Linked DNA regions of Schizosaccharomyces pombe. The protein of the gene in region 1 binds, or shares a complex with, the protein of each later gene. Each region holds a gene or a part of one and is shown in the gene's direction. Other genes may lie near its edges.

What was found.
Region 2: rpa34 (region 1) and ker1 share a complex: the UniProt entries of both Schizosaccharomyces pombe proteins name them as parts of the RNA polymerase I (Pol I) complex.

The regions. Positions count from the first base shown.
Region 1 is NC_003423.3:1,761,668-1,765,295, forward strand, and holds rpa34 (DNA-directed RNA polymerase I complex subunit Rpa34), read left to right. Parts: upstream 1-2,026; 5' UTR 2,027-2,084; coding exon 2,085-2,840; coding exon of another isoform or gene 2,841-2,886; 3' UTR 2,887-2,953; downstream 2,954-3,628. Other genes in the region: mRNA turnover and ribosome assembly protein Mrt4, read left to right, coding at 1-125; TRAPP complex subunit Trs20, read left to right, coding at 769-855, 903-985, 1,046-1,107, 1,177-1,355; Sm snRNP core protein Sme1, read right to left, coding at 2,837-2,886, 3,116-3,191, 3,301-3,390, 3,428-3,466. UniProt on the Schizosaccharomyces pombe protein: DNA-dependent RNA polymerase catalyzes the transcription of DNA into RNA using the four ribonucleoside triphosphates as substrates. Component of RNA polymerase I which synthesizes ribosomal RNA precursors.
Region 2 is NC_003423.3:3,472,639-3,476,247, forward strand, and holds ker1 (DNA-directed RNA polymerase I complex subunit Ker1), read left to right. Parts: upstream 1-2,006; 5' UTR 2,007-2,090; coding exon 2,091-2,534; 3' UTR 2,535-3,021; downstream 3,022-3,609. Other genes in the region: synaptonemal complex-associated protein hop1, read left to right, coding at 16-184, 223-463, 504-894, 942-1,167, 1,215-1,531; sct1 (glycerol-3-phosphate O-acyltransferase), read left to right, coding at 3,278-3,323, 3,376-3,609. UniProt on the Schizosaccharomyces pombe protein: DNA-dependent RNA polymerase catalyzes the transcription of DNA into RNA using the four ribonucleoside triphosphates as substrates. Component of RNA polymerase I which synthesizes ribosomal RNA precursors.

The DNA.
Region 1 (3,628 bases):
TGCTGAAGTTATTTGGAATCACGGCTGCTGAGTTTAAGGTTGGGCTTTTGGGCTATTATTCAAAGAAAGGTGCTTCTGTTGAGTTTCTTCAATCCGCACCTGGTGCAGACGAAGCCATGGAGTAAAATGTATATTACAGTTAAATGGACACATCGCGTGCACTATTGCATTATCAAAGTTTTTTGCTTTTTATTTTCGGATAAAATAAAATGAAAAGAAGGGTTACTAGATTAGTGAAAGCCCTGTGTTACCGTGCTTGCATAGTTGACGGACTTTGGATTTAAAACAATGGTTTTTTGTTCATGCTCTGATAAATTTACATAGAGATATGTACTCTTTCTTTTCTTTTACTTACTTTTGGGGGATTATTGGTTATTTCTTTTCCATAGCGGATGAAAATATATGAATAATATTTTTATACACTTTAAAATGAGTCATGTAGCACGTTGACATGGTAAAGTTAGTTTGCTAGTTTCACTTTCGCTGTGAAGGCCCTAAAAGTTGATTTCCAAACTCCAATTGTTGCTTTCGTAACGTACGAAAGAATGGAAACAACGAAACTGATTGTTCTTTTGACCGTCGATATGCCGCATTTTGTACTTTAAGGTAAAATCGATATAATTAGTTTTAAATGTTTTAAATTTTATGGAATCATTTTAGTAGCTATCCAAATTATTTCTAAAACTTTTTAAAATGTATAATTCACGTTACACAATTACATTTTAAAATTGTGTCGCGCTTCACACTTCCTTTCCACCAACATTCACAATGACAGCATATGCAGCAATTATAGGAACGAAAGATAATCCCGTTTATGAATTAGAGATGGGGCCTATAAATGAAAAACTAGACAGGGTATGTCACATAATACTATTGATTTAGAACGCTAATATCTGAATTAGTCTTTAAATTCTCATCTTAATCAATTTATCGTTCATTCGAGTTTAGACATTGTGGATCAGCTACAATGGACTAGCAATGCCTTGTACGTTTTGTGATTTCTTTTGTTTCTTGCAGTCATTGCTAATACTCTGTTTTTGTATAGTTATATGAAAACCATCGATCAATTTCACGAAATGTATATATCTGCTTACGTTACGCCATCTAGTAAGTGTTTTGTTCCCTTTAAATATCTGGGGTGACTTTTGGACAACTACTAATGTTCATTATTTTTAGATATGAGGTTTATGCTTCTTCACCAAAACCAAAGTGCTGACAACATTAAACTGTTTTTCCAAGAGCTCCACGAATTATACATCAAAACTCTAATGAGTCCTTTCTATCAACCTAACCAACCTATTCGTTCTCAGGCTTTTGATTTAAAGGTCCGTTCAATTGCTAGAAGGTATCTGTGATGAAAAGGTGTTGGTTGATTTCTTCCTCACGTTCTTTCTCTCCAAAAAGCATTTATCTTTCTCTTGCCTTTTTATTTGTAAGAGTGAGGCATCTACAATGCCTATGCTGGCCGAGGTTGATAATTGTTCAATTTCCACATACATGAGGCATTGAAGAGGAAATGTTTGCAGATATGTATTTTTTTTTCAGTTTTAAATTTTGACTCATTGTGTTTACACTCTGTATACAACATATATATACGTCGTTCTTTAGTTATGTGTACCTCACTTCTTCCTACAATTGATATCCATTTTACATAAACACAAAATAATACTACATCCTTTAAGCAACTGGTCGCGTCAAGCTGCGACCGTTCTTAGTAGTCCGATCCTTACAGAAGCAATTGTCAGACAACTTAAAAAAAAAAAAAAAAAATCCCTATCTACTAGATAAAGAAAGATGTTGGGAATATTAATTTCTAGAAAAACAACATTTTTTAAGCCGAAAAAATAAAGTAGTGAACCGATTGCTCCATTTTAACTTTTTTCTTTACCTAAGAAGTAGAGTTCTTGCTATAACCACATACTTTTTATTTTTTGTTTCATCACATAAAAGTTCCTTTAATATGAATACTACCTTGTGCATCGTTATCCAGCTCGATGATACCTACGTTGTGACCCACAAGCTCACCAGAGCAAAATACAGGTACGCTTGCAAAATTTCACTTTAAATTCTACTGGGGCGTAGATATGGCAAAATCAAGTGAATTTGTAAACGAGGAAAGTTCAGAAGATGAATCTAGCGTTTCTAGCATAGAGGATCAGCATTCGTCGAAAGAACCTGAACAATCCGTGGAGAGCAACAATCACGGCGAATCGAACGCACAAGAAGATGTTGCAGAAATTGCTGGTTTAGAGAAAGTGCAAGGAAAGCCTGTTTTGACCACTAATGACTTGAAAAAGGAGTCCAATGTTTTTTTAGTACGACTTCCGCCTGGCATGTCCGCTGACCAAATAAGTCAGCTAAAGGTAGGCTCCAAACCTACAGTAGAATTAAAGCAGGAGAACGAAAACACCTATCAAATCCGAGAAGAATCAACAAGCTCCGTACGTGTGTTTTTACCTGACGAGCAAGGTTCCTATACGTCAAATGAAATCAAAACTGGATATGTGATTACAGAGACCCCCAAAATTTCACAAAACATTGATACTGGTATTACAATACCTACGCAGGCACCACTTGTTCCTCAAAGAAAGAATCTGAGACAGCATTTTCGCCCGATTGGAGATGCTGTAGGGCCTGAATCGGAACCTGAAGCTGAACCCAAGTCTGGCATCAAAGAACATATTTTACAAGAGACTGGTGATGCTACAGTAGAGGAATTACAAAATAAAGGGAAGGAAAAGCAAAAGGAATTGAAAAAGGGAAAAAGGGAAAAGAAGGATGAGGAAGAAAAACCTAAGAAGAAAAAGCAAAAGAAATCCAGCAAAAAGGAAAAAAATTAGATTGCTTGAATTAGTGTAATATTATCACCTTTTAATAGAATTCTACCTAAGCAATGTTAGCAATTGGTTTGGGAAATTGTTAAATATTTTAGAACAAAAATCTGCATCAACGGTTTGTTTTAGAATTTGTAAGGTTGCTGGAAACGCAATTTGGTAAATCAGCTTAAGACATGCATCTATTATTATTTTTGCTTCATGTAAAGACTTTTGAATAAAATCCCACCGAACATTCTTTCACATAAACCAAGGTTTTATTCGTCTAAAATCAGGCTTACCTAACTCCCTTTTATTATTTTTAGCATCTACTTGCACAGCATCGTCAAGCACAATGTTCATAAATTCGTCGAAGCCCTGTCATATATCGTTAGCAATTCATCAACTTGTCGTAGGGAAAATGAAGGTATTTCAAAATCCTAGGCCAACGACTATGAAGGGATTTTCCATAAAGTAAATTTCTTACCCTAATTTGTCCCTGAAGTCTTATATCTGTTTGTTCAAACAGCCAAATTGAAACAGGAGTATGTTGTTGCAACAATTTGAAAATGAAATTCTGCGTAAGTTAGCTATCCAACAACAATTAACCATACAATAGGAGGTATCATAACTTTTTGCACGCGTCCTGACATCTTGAAAACTTATTTTATCAAAAAACGAAATTCTATAGATGGTTGTGCAATGGTGCAGTTGGCGGCCTGTCAGCACTGACTTAGTGGATATTTAGCCAAGACCAAAAACCTCTTCAATAAATTTGTACCACATGGATCAATGTTTATCGATCCTTTATTTTT
Region 2 (3,609 bases), 1.7 Mb from region 1:
AAACTAATATTTTAGAAAACTTATATTTTCTCACTTGTATCAATGAAAGTTCCATTTACTGTTTACCTGATTATTTCGTCACAATGCAAGTCAATATTAGAGGATGACGCGGTTGAAAAGGAGATATTTTCATTTACAATTAACCCTGGAAGTGAAGAGAAAATATGTTGTGAGTCTTTTGTTTGTAAATTTTTTAACAGACTTCATGAGAGTTTTATCAAGCTTATCAACGTTCAGAAAGGTTTGTAATAAAGTTATTTTTAAGTGGTAACGTAAAAACAGAGTGCAAAGACGAAGAAAAAGTCGTACAAATTATTACAAAAATGGAACGCTTTCAATTATCAAAAGGAGAAGCAACTAAAGCTGGCGTGTTTTTAAATACCGTAGAAACAAAAGATTGCATGTCTTGGCTCAATCGAGGAGAATTCAAAGATATTGTATCTTTTTATGAATCAAACAATGGGTAAGTAAATTAAAACAAATTTCAAGTTACTAATCTATAGTATTGCGATTTCACATTGTTCTCATGCATTTGTACCGATAAGTACAGAGAAGATCATGATTAATAAAGAATCATCATTATTTGATTCTCAAGAAAAAATTGATTCTCAGCTCGAAAAGTTCCTCCAGCCTTTGAAATACGATGAAATAGGCTCAACTCAAATATTGGATGAACAATCAGTTGAAAAAAGTTTGAGTCAAGGAAAATGTGAGAAAATGCAGAATGAAAGTCGTGGATTAAGGGAAATAAAAAATAACAATCCTTGTGAAGAAGTAAAGAAAAGCAATTGGTTAAAAAAAAACATTTCAGGGAGTGACAAAGTTGACAAAGCCGAAAAGAAAAAAGCACTTTTGAATTGTGAATGCGGTGATTCGACGGAAGACTCAGAAATGGTGTGTAATCGTTTATACCTGCTAAAGACTAACAATATTTTACACAGTTTCAATGCGAAAGATGTGATGGATGGGTTCACTGTGCTTGCTATGGATTTGAGAGTGACTCTGATCCTCGCCAACCAAACCAATTGTTATGTTATACATGTTTGTTAGTTGATTCTGAATCTAGTTTGTATGACCGAATGACCATGTTGGTCGCATACAGACGAGCAATTCGGTGTATTTGGGCGTCAGAGTATCAAGGGTTCCAAAAGCTAGCGGCGCGACTGAGTAAGGAAATTTACCAACTCATTGACCATATACTAACATTATCTAAGATTGCAGCTATGCTGATGCCAAAAGAATTGAAGAAAGATTAGTTAACGAAAACATAATCTATAAGGAAAAAAAACGAAAATGGATATATTTTACGAATAAAAGCCCTGAAATGGTGTCATATCTTCGTGAGAAGTATTTTACACCGTCGCGATGGATATCTCATCTGAATTTTCAAAATTATCGTCAAGAGAATCAACGTGTAAATATGCGATCTTTTCTACGGCCCGAAAGAATGGAAGTAATAGAAAGACCAAAAAAGGTTTCTAAGACTTCAAACACTAAAGAGACAGACACCATGAAACCTCTGAGGATTTAAACTTATACGACTTATCCTATCTTCAAACAATTTGAGATGGATCAGTATTGCATCTATTTGCTCAAACTATTAATTTAAACTTACATAATATATTTATTATTAGCTATACTACATTATTACCATAAATAACATGTTCTGTTATCATCCGTTAGATATGAGACAATATTCATACAAACTCATTTTCTTGTCGTAGATAACTATGCTTACGACATTATAAATAGGCGGTAATTGAAATGAGGAATGAGGTTCAGTTATGAGCTTATACGAACATGAGATATGAATATAGACTTCATACAAGAATCATGCATACCACTATAAACTAGATCACAAGTAAATTTTATCGCAGTTCTACGCAGCGCTAAACGAATACGAAATTGCGTAGCTAATTTAAGCACTTCTTGAATTGCATTATGTGTGAATAGTGTGGTGATTTGATGTCAAAAAAAAAAAGTATAGAACGTTACACATTAGACTTGAACTTTTCCATTTGATACTGAAGTTACATTATTGCTGTGTTCGTGAGAACTTTGCATTATTCAGGAGAATTTTCGTTTTAAACATGGCGACAGAATGTCCACCTAAAATGATTTTGCGAAAGTCTGAAAAGCTAGACAAAGACGCGTCTAGTAAATTTCTCAATCGCTACATCCAAACGATTGAGCGCTTCCAAGATGAAAAATCTGGAAGTGAGAGTGTTCTATCCCAGTTAAATAGAGTCTTGATGTACCTGAAAGGAGAAGAGATACCGCTTATTTCTTTAAATTTACCTGTCCAAGGCCCTCCCACAGAGGAATTAATAATACCACCTGAAGAAATGTTGGAAACCAAGGAAGAGGAAAGTCTGAAACATGCAAGGGAAGAGAACGATGATTTGCATTTGGATAAAGAAACCAAAAAGCGTCTAAAAAAGGAAAAAAAGAAGGCTGCGAGACGGGAAAAGGAAGAGGCTCGTAAGGCCAAAGCGGATACGACTCAAGGTGTAGGGGAAAAAGAACAGAGTTAGAGTAAATTTAAAGGTGTGTTGATTATTTGTGGTTCAGTTATTTTGTTCGATTTCTAAAACATCATATGAGCTTTCGAATATAGTTTGCGCTTCATTAAAAAAATTGGGTTTTTTGGCTGCGATTATTTATTAAATCTTTTAAACGTGAGAGAAAAAATCCTAAGGTTTTTTTTGATCATGTGTTTGAGGACAACTACAATGCAACTTTTTTACTCGCAGTACTTGAGTTTGCATATTTTGTAAGTCCTTATCCATTCATTCTCAGTTGCAAGTATCAGATTATGCTTAAAGATTTTAAATTCATCATTAAATTCTTGTTTATCCCATAGTTTAATTGATTTTTTTTTTAATATAGGCTTTATTGTCGAAATTGTTGTCACAAATAATTGTTAAATAACAATTTAACAAAGATCATGGCGAGATCAATTACTAAACTCAATCTTTCAAATCAATACTCTGTGAATCCTAATATACTATTTCTTTCACATCACATCTTTAATGTTTCTACTAATACTGATTTATGTCGATTGATATTAACATGTATATCTTAGTGACTTATAACTATCTAATGAAACAACGCGTTGCCTTATACAACTTCAGCGTACTATATAGTGAGACCTACTTTTTTACGTAGACCTTATTAGAATTACCCAGGAGGCCCCTCCCAAACACTCACGATTATTTTACTAGTATCGTTTAATCTTACTTGAAACCCTGAAGACGGGTTCGTTCACTCAATTATAATGCAACATACCTTTATTTATGATACGTGCTTATGGATTTTATCAAGTAAGTTACTTATCATTTAGTTACAACCGGAACGCTAATTAATGAACCCCAGTTTTAATCGATTTCTTTTTCCGTGAAGTTAAAACGCGAGGCTCTTTTAGAGTTCCTCGCAAGGGACCTCTAATTTTAGTGGCCGCGCCGCATGCGAACCAATTCGTAGATCCTTTGATTTTGATGTTACAACTTCGTAGAGAAGTAGGTAGGAGGACTTCCATTTTGGTTGCTGCTAAAAGTTATCGTCAAAGATTTATTGGCCTCATGTCGAGAGCTTTTGGTGCAATTCCTG